3 linked regions of the Xenopus tropicalis genome follow. The protein of the gene in region 2 interacts with the protein of the main gene of each other region in a biochemical or structural test. Links are inferred from orthologs where the notes say so. Each region holds a gene or a part of one and is shown on either strand. Other genes may lie near its edges.

Evidence for each region. The genes of interacting proteins can lie anywhere in the genome.
Region 1: the proteins of rnf7 (region 2) and ube2c form a complex in vitro, tested with the Homo sapiens proteins (4 studies listed by BioGRID). The link is inferred for Xenopus tropicalis from reciprocal best matches to the Homo sapiens genes RNF7 and UBE2C.
Region 3: the proteins of rnf7 (region 2) and cdc34 form a complex in vitro, tested with the Homo sapiens proteins (5 studies listed by BioGRID). The link is inferred for Xenopus tropicalis from reciprocal best matches to the Homo sapiens genes RNF7 and CDC34.

What each region holds. Positions count from the first base shown.
Region 1 is NC_030686.2:19,652,755-19,660,109, reverse strand, and holds the start of ube2c (ubiquitin-conjugating enzyme E2 C), read right to left. Parts: upstream 4,510-7,355; 5' UTR 4,377-4,509; coding exon 4,276-4,376; intron 1,062-4,275; coding exon 1,034-1,061; intron 387-1,033; coding exon 300-386; intron 1-299. UniProt on the Homo sapiens protein: Accepts ubiquitin from the E1 complex and catalyzes its covalent attachment to other proteins. In vitro catalyzes 'Lys-11'- and 'Lys-48'-linked polyubiquitination.
Region 2 is NC_030681.2:129,412,783-129,420,162, reverse strand, and holds rnf7 (RING-box protein 2), read right to left. Parts: upstream 4,724-7,380; 5' UTR 4,685-4,723; coding exon 4,552-4,684; intron 2,032-4,551; coding exon 1,984-2,031; intron 707-1,983; coding exon 588-706; 3' UTR 123-587; downstream 1-122. UniProt on the Homo sapiens protein: Catalytic component of multiple cullin-5-RING E3 ubiquitin-protein ligase complexes (ECS complexes), which mediate the ubiquitination and subsequent proteasomal degradation of target proteins.
Region 3 is NC_030677.2:105,627,680-105,635,361, reverse strand, and holds the start of cdc34 (ubiquitin-conjugating enzyme E2 R1), read right to left. Parts: upstream 4,510-7,682; 5' UTR 4,353-4,509; coding exon 4,170-4,352; intron 1,777-4,169; coding exon 1,690-1,776; intron 203-1,689; coding exon 105-202; intron 1-104. UniProt on the Homo sapiens protein: E2 ubiquitin-conjugating enzyme that accepts ubiquitin from an E1 ubiquitin-activating protein, and catalyzes its covalent attachment to other proteins by an E3 ubiquitin-protein ligase complex. In vitro catalyzes 'Lys-48'-linked polyubiquitination.

The sequences.
Region 1 (7,355 bases), on a different chromosome or scaffold from region 2:
AGCGCAGAATATCCAACATAAGACTCCTTAATATACCTCAACAAGATAATTCAGTCATTGCTTTTAACTTTTAAATTAATGGAAAGCAGCTGATGAGAGGCAAGAACTGTGGATTGCGTGCAAAGTCTACAGCACACTACCTCTGCCTGGTAGGTATTAGTTGTTTCTACATTCCTTGGCAATCACCATTTGGCAGGGCTTCATCTGCGAATGCATGGAAAGCAACTAAGGAAGGCAAGGGTTTTGATCAGGTGTCCCTGAAAGGGCAGCAGCTTTCAAAATGTGTCATGAAGCCTTACCGTGCCGACTGCGCCATCAATGGTTCCAATCCACTTAAATAGGTTATCAGACTCCGGGAATGCAGAAATTCCCTTATCCCCAGACATCTAGGGGAGAAAAAACATACAAGATCAAGTTTCCTAAAACCCTCAACAGCTTATTAAAAGGGGAATTCCACCCATACAAAACAAGCTTTTTAAAAAGTAAACAATTTCAAGCAACTTTGCAATATAGATCAACTTAAAACACAGCAGTTTCATGAATTTTAATGTAACATGGTTTGGAATGGCTCCATAAGCCTTGCCCCCTGTTCTCCTAATGATCTGGCAGACAAATGTGAGATTTAAATAAAACAGTAGTTGACTCTCCACCGCCTGCATCCTCTAAATCCCACAATTCCCTGCAAACATGTCATTAAGGAAAGGAACGCCACGGTGCAATGCATTGTGGATTATGTAGTTTCCACATGCTGTCTGTAAAATTTGGAAAGTTGTTACAATTTGTAACATCAATGTTTTAGTCCCTTCTCCCCTGCCAGGATTTCAAATGATGCAAGGAACTGTTTTGCAGATGGCTTTCAGCATATAAAAGTTATATTCATTTTTTGAAGGAACATATTACAGTGATATATATTAAGAGTTTTGGTGTTGTGTGTGGCTCTTACAAAACTTTGGTTGGTAAGTCAGAATTTCCCTTTAAAAAGTATAAAGCACAAGTACTATCCTCATTGTATGCACATAAAGTTTACACTCACCATTAAGGTCATCAGCTCCTGCTGTAACCTACGAGAGAAGAAAGAAAATAGGTGGGCACTTAAGCTTTGCTACAAATCACACTCACAATAAGAATTTGCTATGGGTGTGGCAGTCTTTGGCAGGCAATCTTTTCATGCATGGCCCTCTAAGAACAGCAGATCCCGGCAGAAGGGAAGAAGAGTCACTAGACATTAGGCTTTTTGAATGTTAATAACTTACTTGTTAAGCCCAAAATAATGGAGACAGATGCTAGCATTCGCCATGGAGGGATAAAGGCAGCATTATGGACAGCAGCAATAAATAATGGATGCCTCACGGTACAATATTTATGGCTATTGACAATAAGTATACATAATTGATAGGCTTCCTTAAGTAACTGGTAGTAAAAATAAGGGGCAAAGAGTAATTTTGCTAATAAAATTATAGCAATGGCAAAAGGACTAAGTGATTTAGAATTGGAATATTATGGTCATAGACAATATGGGTAAATAATGGATATCTACCAGCTGAGATGTTATGCTTCACTTGGTATTAATGTGCTTTATATGAATATAGGGGAGATTTATCAATTGGTTCTGTTGCACATAGAGGGACAAGTTAACCCTCTAACTAGTCACCATTGGTTTGATCTACATTTTCTCAACCTAATAGCCAAGTTTTTTTTTTTTTTTTTTAAACACAATACATACCTTATCCCTGTTTGGGCTTTAAACTATTCTGGCCAGCTGAACTTGCGGCCACCATATTGCCTTCCATTACATCTTAAAGAAGCTGTCCATCTTTGAGTTAACTTTAAGTATAATGTAGATAGTAATATTCTGAGAATTAAAAATGAAGACCAATTGCAAATTTGTAGATTATTTCAGCTTTTGCTTTTCAGCTTGGAGTTTCAGCAGCTATTTGGTTGCTAGGATACAAATTACCTTAGCAGCCAGGGTGTGATTTGAATGAAAGACTGATTTGAAAAGGAGAACACCTGAATAGAGAAATATAATCTGACAACAACAATTAAACTGTAGCTTCACAGAGCAATAGTTTTTTGGTTGCTGGGGTCAGTGACCCCTATTTGAAAGCTGCAAAGAGTTGGAAGGCAAAAGCTATAAAAAAAAATAAATGAAGACCACTTGAAAAGCTGCTTATAATTTGCCTTTCTATAACATACTAGAAATGAACTTAAATATTTAGCCAATTTAGCCATTTCTGCGCAGTAGCAGGCAGCTGGGGAAGTGGGAGAAGACAGAACCATCACTGGAGAAAACAAAGATTGCAGATCGGTGCAATCACAATCAGCAGGCAGCTATAGCAACCATAAACTAAGGTTGCCATTTGCTGATGGTTTTATACAGGGAAGGGAATCTGGAGGTCAACAGTGACACGCACTCTAATGAACAAAATCTCCAGTTCCTCTTCTGTGCATGCTCCACCAGGCTGATGATAATATTGACTCATTGCGTGAGTCCTATGTGAAGGCTTGGGCTCCAATGCTCATGTGTCCAAGGCTTTCACCAATGAACAGCATGGGCGGGTACGTCCACCTTTGCCGAAGCTAGTGTGAGACCCATCAGGTCTTGGCCTGGGGTCAAACCCAGAGGACTATGACACCAATCCATGGTGCACAAATCAAACAAGACAGGTGCTGAAGTGTGCGAGTGCAATGCCATGGATTGCCTTGGTAAGGCTCCAGCTGGCGGCCAAAAAGAAAAATGCCTCCCGCCGTCCTAATTGCCAGGGCAAATTAAGTTAAGCATAATTAAGCAGAAGGTGCATGTGCAAAGTCCCCAACTAAAATATGTCAGGCATTCCCTTATGGGAACACAGCTCCTCTGCTTTCATCAAGCTTCCGCCTGACAACCTAAAGGCCAGAGGACCAAGTGTTTCTCATTTCGATACTACACTTTGTTAGCCAAAAGGTCGTCCAGTCCGATAGACTGACCCATCTCAAAAAGGTGTGTGGCCACCTTTAGACATATGATTTTATTATTCTAGATTTAGACCAGAATCCTTTACCCCAAACACCCTCTGGCTACAGGACCATGACTGCAACCCCCCCCCCCCACCCCAGTGAATGGCACACCAAGTCAGTGCATTATCAATGTCTGATCCAGTTTCAGACAGTCTGAAGGCCCCATACATAGGCAGATAAGCTACAGACTAGGTCTGAAGTGGCCAAATTAGCAGCTGAAGTCTGCCTGGGATGGCATGTAAAATAACACTACCTTTGTTTAAGGCTTTAAGCAATTACAGCCATTGGGTGGGGGTGTCTTACATATTGCCTACCCCCCTCCCCAAGTCAATGGTGCTTTCCTTAATGGCCACACTTGCAGCAGAGTTGCCAGGTTGGTGTTTCTGCAAAATTGGGCTACCAATTTAAAGCCCTGGCAGGTTTCCAAGGTACAAACCCACCAAGGAACAGTTTGGGGCTATTTTTTGGAGCCTTAATCTACAGTTAGGATTAATATAAAACTACAATACCCAGCATGCAATTGGACAGTATAGATAGAGGCTCTGTTTTGTATTCCTTTTTGCTCTTTCAGGGTCAACCTGTATATTCTGCAACCTGCTCTATAGGGTATGTGATTGTACTATTACTTTCTGCTGTGATGTGGGGGCAGTTCTGCAGTTGATCATTAAGATATAACTCTCCGGATATCTTGGGACTGCTGAGAGTTGTAGTTCAGCACACCCATATGTATCTCATGTCTGGGGTTAATGCAACATTCGGAATCTAATTTTGTAGTCTTCCCAGCTGGACTGGGCACAGAGGTCAGGGAATTATCAGCATTCCCAGTAACTGGGTAGTGATTATACGCTTTAAAAAGGCATGTTTCCCATATATACTTGCACATTTTGGCCTATTTTTGGGCTACTTTCAGACTTTTGGACTGGTTTTAGAACTGACACTAAACTCTAAACTCATTTGACTGCAAGCTGGATCAGAACAATTTACTAACCATGGCAGCCACAGATCTGGACCAAAAACAGGATGTGACACTGTAGACAATGTAGCGGATATTAAAGGGAGTAGAGAAAACCTGTATATTGTAACTAAGCAGTGGAAGAGATACGTAAAATGAATGAAGTTTAGAAAACAGAGATATAGCTGCTATAAGCTGAATAAAATTTGATAGCAAAATATCTCAAGTGACCCATCTGAATTATACAGAGGGTGTGCCAAGATCCAGCTACACTGCCATCGCCATAAGCACAGCGGCCATTGTTCCCAAGAGCCGGCTCTCCTCACCTCTTTCCCACAGAGCCACGGGCGGCCGAGGTCCCCGACTCTTGTCCTTTCCTTGCAGTCACCGAGCTGGCCGCAGCTGGATCCACATTCTGTGAAGCCATCGGTATGTAAAAATGACAAAAACCGGGCCTTGAACGTTGCTGAGTATCCGGCTTCCACTCCCAGAGATCTTTGACGCTTCCTCTTAATTCTGTAACTAAACCTACCGCCCTCTATTTGAAATTTTTAACTTCTACACAAAGCGTCCAATCAGCGTCGCTTAAATATTTAATTTAACCAATCGGAATGCTCACAGAACGGTTTCCGCAGAGACTGGCAAGTTTGGTGTCGGAAGCGTAGGCGTTTTAAACAAAGGTACGGGATTGGCTAAAGTAGACTGCTATGCTTTATTGTGATTGGAAGAATTCCGTTGCCTATCAAAATAAATAAATAAATAAATAATACGTGTGTGGGAAAGTTCTGTCAGGAAAGAGTATTATCTTGAAGTTATACTTTTTATTATACTTTTTGTTTTTATTACGACGTGAAAAGTATAAAATACCTTTGCTCAAATTTCAATCGTTTGACGTTTTCTTGTAACAAGGATGTTAACTAACCCAGTCAAGTCATTAGAAGGAGAGCAGTACTTCTCTAATGTTACAGAGTAGTTGCCATAAACTGTTCCTGTCATACCACCCCTTTCCACCCCATGTAAAAGTCTGTCCAGCAAGGGGGAAACTAAAATAATCTTCCACTGAAGAGTCCCCATATGTGCTTACACAGAGCTGTCAACCCCCCTATATTTTTCTGAGTTACCCAATTTGGCTTTCTCTCCCATGTCTCTGGTCTGTTGATAGCATTCTGATTTTTCTCATTAAATTCATGCATGTGCATTCAGTGACAACATAGTGAGCATTTGCATATGCGCAATCAACAATTTTTCAGCTTCAAAGGTCAGTTATGCACATGTATTGACATCACTTCTGGTTAGCACGAAAAAATAACACTGCACATCCTTGACTATCGGAGGTTGACAGCTCTGCAACTCCCCCTATAATCTGGGTAGTTACTTAATTGCACTGTCCCTCCCCCAGTCTCCTGATGCTACAAGCAATTTCCCCAACTTTTCCTAAGGGCTCTGGCACACGGGGAGCTTAGTCGCCCGCGACAAATCTCCCTGTTCCCGGGCGACTAATCTCCCAGAAATGCCATCCCACCGGCGAAAGTGTAAATCGCCGGTGGGATGGCATACGTGGTGGCGCGATTTCACTGAAATCGCAGAAGTTGCGTTGAGAGGAAACTTCCATGCTCAACAGGCATCAAATTTAACTGAGAGATTTTGTATGGGTGAATGGTCAAAAATACCGCCATCGAGAACCAAGACACTCATCAAAGGCTATAGGAGGCGTCTAGAGGCTGTTACATTTGCAAAAGAAGGCTCAACTAAGGGGCCCATTTACTTACTCACGAACAGGCCGAATGCGTCCGATTGCGTTTTTTTCGTAATGATCGGTATTTTGCGATTTTTTCGGAAAATTATCGCGACTTTTTCGTTACCAATACGATTTTTGCGGAAAAACGCGAGTTTTTCGTAGCCATTCCGAAAGTTGTGATTTTTTCGTAGCGTTAAAACTTGCGCAAAAAGTTGTGATTTTTTCGTAGTGTTAAAACTTGCGCAAAACGTCGCGCCTTTTAAGTTTTAACGCTACGAAAAAAGCGAAACTTTTCGCGCAAGTTTTAACGCTACGAAAAAATCACAACTTTCGGAATGGCTACGAAAAACTCGCGTTTTTTTGCGCAAATCGTATTGGTAACGAAAAAGTCGCGATAATTTCCGAAAAGTCGTAAAGGCGCCGAAAAAATCGCAAAAAATACGAAAAAGTCGCAAAATGTTCGTTTTCCAATCGGAATTTTTCCAATTCAGTCGGAATTCGTGTCTTAGTAAATCAGCCCCTAAGTATTGATGTAATATCTCTGTGGGGGTGCCCAAATTTATGCACCTGTCTAATTTTGTTATGATGCATATTGCATATTTTCTGTTAATCTAATAAACTTTATGTCACTACTGTTTCCATAAGGCGCATATATATATATATATATATATATATATATATATTAAAAGGACGTTGCTACTTTGAAAGCTCAGCCAGTGATAAACAAAACTCCAAAGAATTAAGAGGGGTTCCCAAACTTTTTTTAATGACTGTTTGTATGTAGTACTCCATTTGGCAGTTCTGCCATTTGTAGAAGAATTGGGAACATAAATCCAAATATTACCAAATGGAAATCACTTGATTTCGCAATGTGCAAACAATGTGGTTTTAGTTGAGCTCCCAGCTCAAGTGAGTGCTGTTTGGGAATGTTTGGAATGATGCCTGATACACTAAATAATGGTAGATGGAATTGTAATGCAAACAAAGACACAGCTCACCTATAGTGCAGGGCTGGTCTTATAAACTGCAAGGCCAAATTGGAACCATTCTGGCGGGCCCCCTGCACAAAGTGTTGTCAGCTGGCACAGGGTTCCAGGAATGTATGGGTAAATAGTTCCTGCCTCTTACTATGTGACTGATGGTGTAACCCTTCCTTTTCACCACTTTCTCTTGTTCCATTGGCCCCCAACATTTCATGGCACAATGTGGGCCCCAAGCACTGTGCACTGACACGCCAAGCATACTACATACAGCGAGAGAGAGTGATTGGTCCCTCCAACACACTATACACAGTGAAAGGGGGGGTTTAATGTCCCAGAACACATAACAGTATTATTGGGCAATTATTGTTGGGGGCGGGATAGACAGCTTTATGTGCTTACTCCCCCTGGAGTGGGGCCCTATTGGGCCCAATAGGTTCAATTGACCTAAGGCTGGCCCTGCTATACTGGATTGGCAGAAAAAGGGCATATGTATGCAATAGTCCTTTTTAAAATCACAACCTTTTGTATTCTCAGCAGTGAGCCATCCACAGCAGCACCCGTCTCACCACCTATATATTACCTGTATATAAGCAGCAATTATCTTCCATCCATTTCCACTTAAATGTTTTTAGAGAGGTGTTTACAGCTTACTGTGTATATTTGACATAACTTTTCTTCATTTATG
Region 2 (7,380 bases):
TGAATGACTCATTATTATTTATTACACTATTTAAAGAGCATATAAATCCCCCCAAACAAAGGTGCTTAATAAAATTAAAAAAAAATTATATAAAAGTGTGCATTTATTAAACCTTATCTTTTATTAGAATGCCACTGCCTACAATCAATTTTAAGTGAGCTTTTGCCTTAAAAGGCAGATATTTGAAGTTGTTCTGGGCCACAGAATATGTTTTGTACCCCACATTATTAGATATTTTTCAGTTTTGCTAATTCCAGCTGGTCAAGAATATTATGGCACTCTCACTAGAATGAGAATTTGGTTTATTGCACATTTAAACAAACACAAAGCACACAATATTATTTCTCGGGTCCAAGGTACAAAGGAAAAATACTAGCGTCTTTATTCCCTTTTCTCCTGGACTGAGAGTGTCAGAGGCAGCAGAACATTAGCAGTCGCTGGTGGACATGACCAGCCCTGGGATCTGCAGAAAATCAATGCACACCAGTAGGAACCACTGCACACTAACTGCCTGAATCACGGGCAGGCACAAAATCAGACATGCCTCTCCTGATGGTACGGATGGTGTATGGACTGTCCCACGCTGGCTATTTGCCTATTCTCTGCACCACCCAGTCTTGTTGGCATAATGGGCAGCGGTTATTCTGCTTTACCCATAGGGACATGCAGCAATTATGAAAGGAGTGGTTACATTCTCCCCACACCACTGCAAAAAAAAGAAAGTTAGTGTGAATAGCAAAATTCTGCACATTTGGGTAATTCTGTAACTCATTGTTTATTATTAGCCTTTGTTTATATAGCACCAATATATCCATATACAGAGAGTATGTGCCACTCACATCAGTCCCTGTCCCAGTGTTTACAACCTAATGCAACTGTCACATTAACATCAAATATGGTCAGTTCTATCAGCTGCCAATTAACCTGCCTGTTTGTATATATACTGTTGTGACCAAAAGAATCCATGATGGTCACAAAAGGTAAAATAAATTTGTTATTCAAAGCTAAATTAAAAAATTAACATATCCAAATGCCCTACGCGTTTCGTGTCCTATGAGCACTTAATCATGTCCTTTGCCCACGGATATCAGCTCCCTAAGCTAAGGGTCTGGAGCACCTGGACCATCTTTTCCACTTGGTAAGTGTACTTTATAAGCCCATTGTTGCTTTGTGCGAGTACCAAGAGGAAATGCAAGCAAGCACAGGGGGCACATACATCAAACCAAGGAAACCAGTGCTGCAAGGCAGCTAATGCTACCACTGCACCAATGCGCTGTCTCAGTACAGGAGACAAAATGTTGTTCCAGCAAGTGTAATTCAATATTTAGGTAAAATGTCTAAACGGTTACATCCCATAATCATCACTAATAACATTGCTGGTTTGAGAAGCTTGGAGTTGATTTACCCTTATGGCATACAATGTTCTTTTAACTACTGAGGTACAATCTTCTCACCTGCATTTACTCCCCAATCAAATGGAAGTGCTGGCAATGTCAAGGGGGGGGGGGATTATTTTGGGGAGGTTGGGTAGGGCCCAAAGTCATAGCCACTTAACATATTACAAAGATGCTGGTACATAGCTTAGTGAGAAAGGATCAGTGCAATCATTAATAAACTACAGAACCAGTCCGATTACAAACACTGGGGGTACCTGGCATATTGGCACCCAACCCTGTGTATTAGCCTCCCCTTATCCTATAACAGATCATGTACTTCCTGATTTTCGCTGCCTTCAAGCTTATTTCTAATGTGGAGAGCTAGGCAAACACTGACAGGAAATAAAGTATAGAAAGATAAAGATCAGCTCTAGGAGACAATTCCAATCAGGATAAAAAGCAAGCACTGCTTAAGACATTTGCCCTTCACTATGAAGGAATGACCCCATGCACACAGTGACGTAAGCCCAGCATCTTAATCCACTCACTACTAGGTAGCCATGAACTCTCTCCCCGGGCTTAGAAATCCAGTCAGTTATTAACATACCCACACAGTCCTCCTGTTTGTTCTCAGCTTGGCAGCGCAGGCAGGCATCTAGAAAGGAAAACACACCTTCCATTAAAATATTTCCTCTTATAACCCTCTTCTGCCCAGCAGCAAAAAATAAATTATATAATGTGGCTAAACAGGAAGGAATTCCATGCAGAAGAGGCTTGAATCCAATCTGAGGTGCATGTGTGTATATAATCACAGACAGACCTATCTGACATGAGATTTTTCATTTCTACATAGACCAGGGTGAGGTAGGGATTTAATGCCAATGTAAATTAATGGGATAGTCGCAGGAACTGAATGGGTCCATGAGAGTCACAGGAAGACTAGTATGGATAAAAGAGGACGGAACTGTACCCAAACTGTTGTCACAAAGTAGAAAACATGGAACCGTCATTAACAGTATAGTACACTGTTTCTTTCAATGGGGCCCTAACTGATTATTATTCCTCCCCACCAAGCTTTAAATCTGCATTATGCATTCAGGTAGGGAGTGTCCAGCTGGTGTCTGTCACCCACACTCATTTGGTAAACAACTAGGATGGTAACAAGGGATTCATCTGACAAAGGCCTGTTCCCACTGCTCCCAATATCCTCCCCAGGAGAAGCTTAGCATTCCAAATGTTAGGCTTGCGTGACACTGCCCTCTCATAGAAATCCTTATTCTTACTTTACCAACAGTTCTTGTGCTGCCATTGCTTTCAGGAACAGTGTGGAGCTCAGAAGTGAGTGTTCCAACTGACGGATATGTGCTGTAATCTGCGCTCAGCATTGCCTGCGAGTATCCAGGCCCCACTACTTCACTTTCCCACCTACATCTCACCAGCACCAAAATCTCACAAACTAAATAGCAACAAAACAGACATCTTATGATGATGCCATGTTAAAAATCACTAAGTTTGGCAATATTTGTTGCTGGTGCTTCATTATACCCCCAGATCAGTAATGAGACTGAAGTGTGGCTTAAATAATAACTTCCACTAATCTGAAGGGGAGTCTGGATACTTCAAACCATATAGTGTTTGTTTGTGTATATTTCACAATATAGAGAACTAGATCCTTTATTAACATCAATGCTGTGGGACAAGTAGCCAACACTTTATGTTTTTTATCATTTATTTGAATAAATGATGTGACACAATGGGGTGTATGGGAATAAATGATGTGACACATTGGGGTGTATGGGAATAAATGATGTGACACATTGGGGTGTATGGGAATAAATGATGTGACACAATGGGGTGTATGGGAATAAATGATGTGACACAATGGGGTGTATGGGAATAAATGATGTGACACAATGGGGTGTATGGGAATAAATGATGTGACACAATGGGGTGTATGGGAATAAATGATGTGACACAATGGGGTGTATGGGAATAAATGATGTGACACAATGGGGTGTATGGGAATAAATGATGTGACACAATGGGGTGTATGGGAATAAATGATGTGACACATTGGGGTGTATGGGAATAAATGATGTGACACAATGGGGTGTATGGGAATAAATGATGTGACACATTGGGGTGTATGGGAATAAATGATGTGACACATTGGGGTGTATGGGAATAAATGATGTGACACAATGGGGTGTATGGGAATAAATGATGTGACACAATGGGGTGTATGGGAATAAATGATGTGACACAATGGGGTGTATGGGAATAAATGATGTGACACATTGGGGTGTATGGGAATAAATGATGTGACACAATGGGGTGTATGGGAATAAATGATGTGACACATTGGGGTGTATGGGAATAAATGATGTGACACATTGGGGTGTATGGGAATAAATAATGTGACACAATGGGGTGTATGGGAATAAATGATGTGACACAATGGGGTGTATGGGAATAAATGATGTGACACAATGGGGTGTATGGGAATAAATGATGTGACACAATGGGGTGTATGGGAATAAATGATGTGACACAATGGGGTGTATGGGAATAAATGATGTGACACAATGGGGTGTATGGGAATAAATGATGTGACACAATGGGGTGTATGGGAATAAATGATGTGACACAATGGGGTGTATGGGAATAAATGATGTGACACAATGGGGTGTATGGGAATAAATGATGTGACACAATGGGGTGTATGGGAATAAATGATGTGACACAATGGGGTGTATGGGCAGTAGTGTAACTGGTGGGCATGGGTGCAGTCCCACAGGGAATATCATGGCAAAATCCAAACAGATGGGGCAGATGGGGGGGTGAAAGCATTGGCACAGGGAGGGGGGGAAGGATGCTAAATAGCCAAGGGGCTATAGCAACATTACTGTCTATGGAGATTTGAGTCATCCAGGGGGGCATAAAAAGCTACTAGGAATGGGATGTCCCTCTCCCCCCAGGATGACAATACAGGAAGGGTAATGGTATATTCCATATACCGCCTGTGTGCGCCTGTCATTTCAGTAGGTGACAGTAACCCCCGGCCCCCACCAGAGACTGTATGGCCGATTCCCCAAGCAGGGCTGCTGCTGGCAGCGGAAGGTAATTCCCGCAACACGAAGCCTTCGCCCCAGTGCCAGCGAGCTGTATCTCTCACCCATGACCTGCACCCTGCAGATAGCGCACGTATCGCACTCCACATCCCAGCTCCACATCGCCACCGCGTTCCATTTCTTCAAGGAGAACATCTTGGGTCCGCTCGCTCCGTGCTCCTCCCGCAAAGCAGCCATACCGGCAGGGGGCGGCTCCTCAGATAGCCAATCCTTTCGATGTGCTGCGGTAATTGACCCAATGAGAGAAGAGCACAGGCTAAGCTAAGCCAATCGCTTTAGCAAAATATATCTGTAGAGCCAATCCCAGTACGCAAGACATAGGGTTACGCCCCTAGAGAAGCAACCAATAGCTATACTGGTTCTATTCGCCCGAAACAGTTAAGGGAAAGGCGCTGCGATTTGTTGCTGGGGCGGAGCATGGTGTTGCCTGATGTCAGTATTTGTGTTTAGTGACAAATATAATGAACATTAGGTTTATATTTAAAAGTGTTATCATTGATATATTCCTAGGTGAGGATGATTTTGCTCGTTTATCAACCCTGGGTGAATTTGCACATGGGCAGTAACCTATAGCAACCAATGACCAATTAGCTTCATTTCAGTCAGCTGCATGTAGAGTATTTATGTATGTATGTGTATATATATATATATATATATCTTTATTTATAAAGCGCTACTTATGTACGCAGCGCTGTACAGTAGAATACATTAATGTAAACAGGGTGTTAATAAGATAATAGATAAATACAAAGTATAACAATAAATACAGATAAATACAGCTGCAATAAGTTAAGAGTCAAAGACACAAGAGGATGGAGGTCCCTGCCCCGTAGAGCTTACAATCTATATGGGAGGGGTAACTTACAGACACAAATAGGCAAATATAAGTGCTGTAGGTCACAGTGGGTGACACTACAATATAAGTGCCAGTTCCCAGATCAGGTGCTGGGTGAGTCTAAAGTCTTTTAGTTTAGTCTTAAAAAGACTGGGGGAGGATTCTCTCCGGAGGACATCAGGGAGGGCATTCCAAATGTAAGGGGCAGAAAGGTTTAAGGCGGGAAACCGCAGTAGTAGTGGGGGGCGCAACCAAGCGATTGCTCTGCGAGGAACGAAGGAGTCGGCCAGGAACGTACGGAGACACAAGGGAAGAGATGTAGTGAGGAGCAGAGGAATAGAGGGCTTTGAAGGTTAGGAGGAGTTTGTAAAGGTGGCCATACACGAGGCGATTTCGCTCGTTGTGCGATGAACGATTATATCGACAAACGATCGTATGGCGATCGAGTTCCCATACGATATGCCATCCACGGGCAACGATAATTCGGGAAAGATTTTGTCGCATCATTATCGTAAAATACCTACGATCGTACATCTACGTACGATCGATGTCGTTGACTTCTGCTGCTGGCAATCGTGACATGCGCAGAGAACAATCGTTGAAAGACAAATGTCTGACACTCACACCAACTGGCAGATTTTATCGTTAAACGACCAAAATTTTTAAACCTGGCCGATCGATTTTGGGGACGGTAATGTCGGCTCGTTTAGTGGGCCGACGATCGTTCGTACACCACCAACTATACGATAACTTAACGATAGCATCGGATCGTTCGGGAATCGGTCGTTTGTAAGTAAAAAATCGGTCCGTGTATGGCCACCTTTAGATATAGAGTGAAAGCAAACAATTGATTTATCTGATCAGAAGTTCTCAGTCCAATTTTATTTATATATTTGATGAATTAGATTTCCCCTTTTTTATACGGTTTCCATGTTCTGTGAGAGTGGGTTCTCTCTCCACGACACGGGACCAGCTCGCAAGGTTGGCAATCGCTGCCTGGGAAGTTGAACTTGGGTCCCTGGGGAACTAGATGATTCAAAAATATGTTCATTAGGTCCCACACAGTCATTCTGACAGATCTTCCTGCAAACTTGTCAAACCAAAGATTATCAGCCAATTATCTGCCAATGCACTATATCAGTGAGTGAGGGTACGGCGCATTAGCAAATCATTTAGTGATTTTTAGAAAATAATTTACATTTGCAAGTACGGTTAGTATCAGCCGGATGACACTTAGCTACACTAAGCTCACACTGTATATGTGCAGGCTCTATGGATATAGGTAGGGGGGAAGGTATGAATGTGGTCCCAGCAGAGATTGATGGCCAGGAGCTTCTCAGATGGCTGTTAGTGAAAGGAAGAGCACTGTGCCCCATGTTGGGTAAAGGAGAGTCAGTGTTTGGTCTCTTAGATGATATTTAAGGTGTCTTCTGTTCTATGGGTTTTCTTCAGCTAAAGACAAGCTTGGTCTGATATTCTAGAGGCATTTCAATTACGGGTGTTTTTTTTTTCTAGTGTGGTGAACATTTTTTCTAGCTTCTCTTTTATTCCTAGTGCTTTTATTGCTTCTTAGTCTTATGGTGCCCAGTTCCCCCCTTTTTTGTCTAGGTCAGGGTCCCCAAACTTTTTTTACTCGTAAGCCACATTGAAATATACAAAGGATTGGGGAGCAATACAAGCGTAAAAAAAATCCTAGGGATGCCAAATAAGAGCTATAATTGCCTATTTGGTAGACTGTGTATTGGCTGACAGCCTACAGAAGGTTTTGTTTGTTAGTAGACCTGGTTTTCGTGCAACCAAAACATACCTCCAAGCCAGAAATTCAAAAATAAGCACCTGCTTAGAGGCCACTGGGAGCAACATCCAAGGGGTTGGATGAGCCACTGGTTGGGGATCACTGGTGTAGGTATTGCCTCCAGGAATGCAGCCAAGAACACATAGCTATGCATGCATAGCAGCACCATCTGTGAACCACTCTGTACTGGCAGCACAATACCCAGTGGTAACTGATATCCAGTACACAGTCTAAGAATACAGT
Region 3 (7,682 bases), on a different chromosome or scaffold from region 2:
GCACAAAGGTAAACCAGCGCCATATATTATTCATAATTGCCTACAATATTAGGGTTTTTCCCATTTATCGAATATGTCTCCTTTAAGATTTAAAAAACACTCACCTCACATTCTGGGTAGGATTCCATCTTTCAGAAGGTAGCTCTCCACTTTGTGGGTCATCCACTGGAGGATGCAGGATTGAAATACATACATCACCATTCTGAAGAAATGAAACATAAGATGCACATTATAAACCAATACATGCTAAACAATGCTATAATGCTAAACTTAACAGCAGAGTGCTCTTAGGGGAACATCTAATCATTACTTCCATTAGCAACAGAAGTCATGTAATTGACCACTTTTCCAAACAGGCTGCCCCTTGAAACCTAGAATCTAGGAGATGTGACAATTTCAGATGTTTTGCCTAAGAACTTTTATTCTGTCACTCTGGTAATTTTGTCTCCAATTTAACCCCAGGCTGGCTAATGAATGCAAATATTGCTAAGCAAGGTTTGGTCATCCAGGTTTTTTCAATCTAAAATTTAGTGCAAACCAACTGCACAGGGCCCCTGAAAGCTGACTGATATAGTCAACAACAAATGGTTGTCAACTGTACTCTGTTTAAATGGCCAGAGATTCAAGGGCTTTAGCCCTTTAAAAGAAGTAAACAAGTCAAACAATTTTAATTTATAAAATAGCTACATATGTAACTGCCAGTGAGTATTGGACCTGACTCTGAAGTCCATTGGTGAGAATTATTGGTTTATTGATAGTCAAGCTTTATTAGATGTTATAATTAGAAGTAGGCTAATACCGATTATCAGATCTTAGATCAATTAGAAAATTATCCCTAGTGTAAACGTGGCCATACATGATGATTTAGGTCCTACCGACCGATTTGGCAGATTACCTGCCTATGTATGGGGCTCTATCATGGGCCTCCCTGACGGATATCTGGGCAAAAATCGGATTTTCCTGATATTGCCTAACTTAGGCAGGCATATAGAATGTAGGATCCACTCATTTGGCAACCTTCCCAAAGCAGAGAATCTTACAGTAAATGGACAGCTTAATATAGAAGCTTTGGCACCGCTAGAGGTAGAGAGAACAGGAAATACAAAAGACATTACACCTACGGCAGTATACCTTGATGACTACTTGAGCAGTCACTTACCAAGGTCCAGCAAGAGTGGCCTATGCAATACTAGAAGTCTATGAAACAACTAAATTGGTATAGACTGCTGAGAACATTGATCTTTAGGCATTGTCTAAGGCACAAATGTGTTCATCCATTTTGGGAGAGAATGATTCATAAAAAAAAAAACAGAAATATATATGAATACGTAACGACTAGTATACCTAGCCATTAACAAAATAACCACACTAATATATAATGAAAATGGAAAAATCAGGATGAGCAGGAATTTCTGCCCTTATAAAAACAAGGGTAGCGAAGCATTTGTATAAGCTCAGTGATTCATAAAAAAAATGTATCAAAGATCATGTAACTAAGGCAATTTTTACATTACAACACAAAAGTTAAACCTTAGTGGCACTGCAGTGTACCACAGTCAGCAAATAATCCCACTCTGAATGGGAAGTGCTGCTGAAAAAGTGTGCATTTTACTCAGTGATGAGAAAATGCCCTATATGCAACTGTCTTTATCCTACACCAAGGGAAGAAGCCAACCTGTCTTTACTAACCTCATAGATGTTAGGATGCCACATCTTTGTCAAAAAACGAAACGCAGGAGGAGAGTAGGGGTAATCAACTGGAAATTTTAAGCGGGCCTAGGACAAAAAGAACATGTAATGGTTAACAAGCAAGTGAGTATGGTTGAGATCCATGCCTTTGTTATAACACACCGTAGCTCCGATTAGCACAAAATAATGGTTCTCAAGCAACATATCTAAGAGTAGATCAACCAAATTTCAGTCTATTAAAAAAAAAAGTGTAATTTATTAATTTTTTACTTGTTTGCTCTCTTTCTGTAGTAACAATAAAACAGTATCTTGTGCTTTATGATAACTAAGCTAACATAAATCCATGTTTCTGGCTAAAAGATCATCTTGGTTTTTATTTTTAAATGCTTCAGCAGGCCATAAACGGGCCAATAAAAGCTGCTAGGTCAGTGCCTCCAGGCCAAATTAACAGCTTATTGGCTCGTGTATAGGGCCCGTCTGACCAATAGCTGATCAATTTTCAATACGGCAAGTTTGAAAATCCTATTGAATGAGGGTGCATTGGCACTCTGAATGTGGCTATCATGCAAGAGGCCCCAATAAAAGATTTGAATTATGTCCAAAAGCTTTCAGAATAATAGATCTCATACTTATAGAACTGCATGATGGGTAAGCAAGCTCAGCTGTCATCAGATTAATGATAAGTAAATAAAAAATAAGGTCTGTTTTCAGTTCCAGGGAGGCTGGATAATGAGATGCACCAATTCCAGAGTTTTATGATTCAAACCTTTGTAAAAGATTTGGCCTAATACCGAACCAAACTCTAATTTGCATTTGAAAACTAACCTATAAAAGGAATAAAAATGTTCAACTTCTGGGTTTACATAAAGAAATAGTGATTTTAAGGATTCAGATTTGGTTCAACCAGGCACATGGATTCGTCTGAATCCGAATCCTGTTGAAAAAGGCAGAATCTTGGCCAAACGCCGAAACAAATCCTGGATTCAGTGTATCCCTAATAATATGTATATTATACATATATTGAAAGTGGTGGTTCACCTTTGAGTTAACTTTTAGTATGTTATAGAAAGGCCAATTCTAAGCAACTTTTCAATTAGTCATTATGTTTTTCATAGTTTTTGAATTATTTACTCTTTGCAGCTTTCAAAGGGGGGTCACTGACCCCCAAGCCAAAGAACTATTGTTCTGCGAAGCTATAGTTTAACTGTTATTGTACATTACTTATGTTTCTATTCAGGCCCTCTCGTATTTATATATCAGTCTTTTATTCAAATCACACCATGGTGGCTTAGGTAATTTGGATCCAAGCAACCAAATAGCTGCTGAAACTCCAAGCTGGAGACAACCAAAAACTGAAATAATTAAAAAAAACTACAAATAAAAAATGAAAACCAGTTGCAAATTGTTTCAGAATATTACGCTCTACATCATACTAAAAATTAAGTAAAAGGTGGACAACCCCTTTAAAGGGGTTGTGCACCTTTGACTTAACTTTTTAGTATGATTTTTTTTTGGCTCAGGGGTCAGTGACCCCATTTGAAAGCTGCAAAGAGTTAGGACAAGGAGGCAAATAAATTAAGAAACTATGAAAAACAAATAATGAAGAATATTCGAAAAGTTGATTAGAATAGGTCTTTATATAAGATACTAAAAGTTAACTTAAAGGTGAACCACCCCTGTAAAACACAATTACATTGTTCTAGCCATTTAACATCTCATTATAAACCCCTATTAAATTTCTTGATCTGTGCAAATGTCTAGGAATAAGTAGTCCCTTGAAACTAATATTATATATATATATATATATATATATATATATATATATATATATATATACACACACACTATAGAAGGCACATCTTAACAAAACTGCCCAAAACTAAGTATAGAGACCCCTTTAATCCTTAAAAGAATGAGGCTTCATACATGTAGCTAGTATGGCATACTAAAATGTAAAAGAGTGGAACGCCTATGTTTGATTAATCTTCTGAAAATCTTTATGAAATAGGCACAGGATGAATACATATAAACCCAGGGTATCTCCACAAACACAAAGTGCCAAATCAGAAGTTAGATGAAGAGTTTAGAGCGTTTTCCTGTTACACAAAGGCCTTTATTGCTTTCTAACACCGTGCATCCTGTGGCTGGGGCCTAGCAGCTGTTGTTGGACTACAACTCGCAGAAAACAGGATTAAAGATTTAGTAGTGCCACACTCTTTCAGTAAGTTTTAGTTTTGGGGTAGCTTTGAGGGCTGGTTGAGTTTCATGTGAAACATTAGTTTCGGGCAAGTTACGGCTATGGCTGTAGGAGTCACATAAACAAAGGAAAGCTTGTTGTGCAGAAAGGCCCAGCGATGTACGCAATACCCACCCACGCCTCTATTACTTACTGCCTCTTTAAATACCCCCCAGCGTGGCTTTCCCTCCCCAAGGCCCCTATGATCACGAACTCCACCATTTCACACACACCTAACCCTCACCTTGAAGTACCCCCCCTCATAGAGGGTGTTTGGGGGGCCAAAGATTGCCACCTCCCAGTTGTACAGATCCCCCTCATCTACCAGGGTGACCCGGAACCCCTCCACCGGCTCTTCCTGTAGCCCCTTGAGTTCCAGCATCAAGGCCTTCTGAGAGCTGGGCACCGGCGCCACCGGCCGGGCCATGGTAGTTCCGCTCCCCGCTTTCTAACCAGGAGCCCACAGCGTCCTCCGCGTAGGGCAGGATGGGATCAGTAGGCTTTTGGTGTTTTAGCAAGAAGGGGCTGCTAGACGACTAAAGGCTTTATTACGACATGTTACGGCACAACGGAGCCGCTTTGCGAATTAACTTGCTGGCTGGAAGAGTAACGGGTGCCGGAAACTGCAAGTGAAGCCACGGCGTTGTGGGAGGAGCAGCCTACAAATCCCACAAGCCCACGAACACTGTGACGCACTGGTGCGAGGGAAGTGTAATCTGAGCGGAGGAAGGAGGGGTCTTGCTGAGGCTGATGGGAACAAAGCTAGATGTTGGTTTCTAGTGGGGAAACGTGATTTACAGAGCTTTTATTTAGTAGTGCAGTAGAAAACTTCAACTTGACACAAAGTTTCTGAATGAACAGTGAATATATCCTTTAATCTCCTAGAATATAACCTTCTAATACAGCTCACCTTAAAGGGCACCTATCACCCTCAAATTGTTTCCCTCATCAGAGGTTAGGGAAACAATAGCTTTTTGTGAAAAAAAAAAAAGCTCCTACCATTGCTAGGCTGCCTGCAGCAGAAGAGTGCTCCAGGTGTGGGCAGCCATATTGCCTCATTTCTCACAATGTGCATAATGAGTGAGTGCCACAAGTTGCTTATTATGTGCATGCTTGTGATGGAGGGTGAATTGCATCCACCACGCCTAGATCAGGCGCATGCGCATCATCTGCAAGTGGAAAGGCGCATTTATTATGCCCACGCATGGCAAACAACATGGTTGCCTGTACTGGGAGCTTCATTCAGGTGCGGGCAGCCTAGAAATGGCAGTTGCTGTATTTTTTAAAAACCAAACTATCGTTTTCCCTCAACCAAAGTGCTGCGTCTATTAGCCTGCACCTCTGGTGGGAGAAGCAGTTAAAGGGTCATAGGTGCACTTTAAAGGACAGGGAAACTTAGATTCAGTGGGTGGCAATTTATTGGGTGCCCCCAACACTTTCCATCAGGCCGGTGCTACACTTTGTAAAATGCCACTTCACTACTACTAGTTAAAGACTAGTTGCTTCCTACTCCATGTACGGTGTTGTAAACAGTAGCATAAGTAGAAGTTACTAGGCCCTGAAAAATCATTTTGGCACACCTTGAAATTAGAAATAATATCTTTCATATACATATAATGAAACTACTTATTATTCAGCAGGCTCCCAACAGTCACAGGGTGTGCTTGCTTTAAAGTTACATTCCTTGTTAAAGGAGATCTAAACCCTTAAAAATTAATATGGCAAGAAGTTGGGAAGTTTTTATATACTGGACTTATTGCTCCAGCCTAAAGGTTTAGCATATTTATTATAGTACTGATCCAGTATTTCAGAGTTGTCACAGGGAATGACTCTGTTAGAAGAGTCTGTGACACTCACATGCTCAGTGTGCTCTGGGCAGTGGCTGAGAAGCTAAGCTTAGGGGTTGTTACAAATTATAAAGCAGAAAATAAGGTTTGTCTGTCATATAAATTGATGCTACAGGGATGATTATTCATTTCTGAATCCCACAACTGATTCTGCGCAAGAATGGGCCAGTAAGGGTGTGTGCAGGTATGCCATGAGACCAAAGTAACCAGAAATGGATAGGGCATGCACAAGACCATTGAGGAAGTTTGTTGCCCACAGCAGGCCAGAGGGACAACTCAGCAAAGTGCAACAACCTCCCAAGTGAAAAAGAGATGGGTAAAGAAACACAGCAGGAAGCGATGACATCGCTAACTCTTAATAGCTTTTCATTTGGCCCAGTGAATCTTTTGCTTATTATTATATGATGTTGGTGTGCATTTTAAGTTTAATAATAAAACACGAAGGAACAGTATTTTTAATTTTCTATCATAGGATCATCCACCCTTTTGTTGGGTAGTCATTTTAAATGTGTTAGAACAGAACACAACTTGAACATGCATTTTAGGTGCAGAAAGCTGGTATGTATTAAACTGGCCAAACGGGCTTGCAGATTATTATCCATAAAACATCTTAAATATTTTCAAAGCTTTCCTGGCCTAGGTTATTTTGCCTGACCTCATGATGGCATTTCTTGGAAGGAAAGACCAAGGAATCAAATCATTTGGCCAGGTGCATTAATACTGTATATGGCCAGTATAATAGTATCAGTGGCAAGAACTCATTTTCTATTGACACCATCATTGCAAAGGCAGTACCAGTATTTTAAGAACTTGGTTCTTGAGGTGGTAGACACCAATGTAATTGGGACCATCCTGGTGCAATGCAACTGTTTCAGCAGTAAAAAGACTACTTTAAATGTCCATGATAACTGCTTTAGCTGAAGCATCAATAGAATTTGAGAAATAAAATGTAATAACTGCAATGTATATTTTAGCAATTATATTGTATTGTATTATGTATATCTTTTATTTAGTTGTAGTTTTGTTTATCACAGAAAATATATCACAAACTTGAGTCTATATGCATAATCAGCTTTTTGAACTGTCTTCTTCTTCTGCCTCTCTTCAGCTTTTAATGTGTACAAATGAAAACTTTGTGAGGCTACAATGTTAGGGCGAAGACACATGGAGCTACTTAGTAGCAGCAACTTGTCACGGCTACAAAACACCAGAAAATAACCTGCCATAGACAATACAGGTATGGGACCTGTTATCCAGAATGCTCGGGACCCAGGCATTTCTGGATAAGGGATCTTTTCGTGATTTGGATCTCCATACCATAAGTCTACTAAAAAATAATTTAAACATCATTTAAACCCAATAGGATCGTTTACCCTCCAATAAGGATCAATTACAAGGTACTGTTCTATTATTACAGAGAAAAAGGAAATCATTTTTAAAAATTAGAATTAATTTCTTATAGTGGAGTCTATGGGAGATAGCCTTTCTGTAATTCAACATATGTACAGACACTTATCAGTAAAAGATCAGCATTGTTTTTTTTTTAGTACCCACGACAAGTAGCTGCTACTATTACTTACATTTCTATTCAGGCCCTTGGCTTGCAGGTAAGGTACCTCTCATCCTAATAAATAGTTCCAATAATTTTGTATCATGTTAAACAAAACATTAACTAAAACATTATTTTGCCCAGTCCTGCGCTTAAGGGCAAATTCCCATACCTGATGCACTCTTACCTTCCAGTTTGTGCCTGTATGTTACCCAACCACTTAGATTGTAAGCTCTACAGGGCTCTAGGAGGGACCTCCTTCCTACTGTGTCTCATACCACATGGCACTTATATATATATTTATTGTATTTATTTATTATATCACTTGTCCTCCCTGTGTGTAATTTTGTATTCTGTAAGA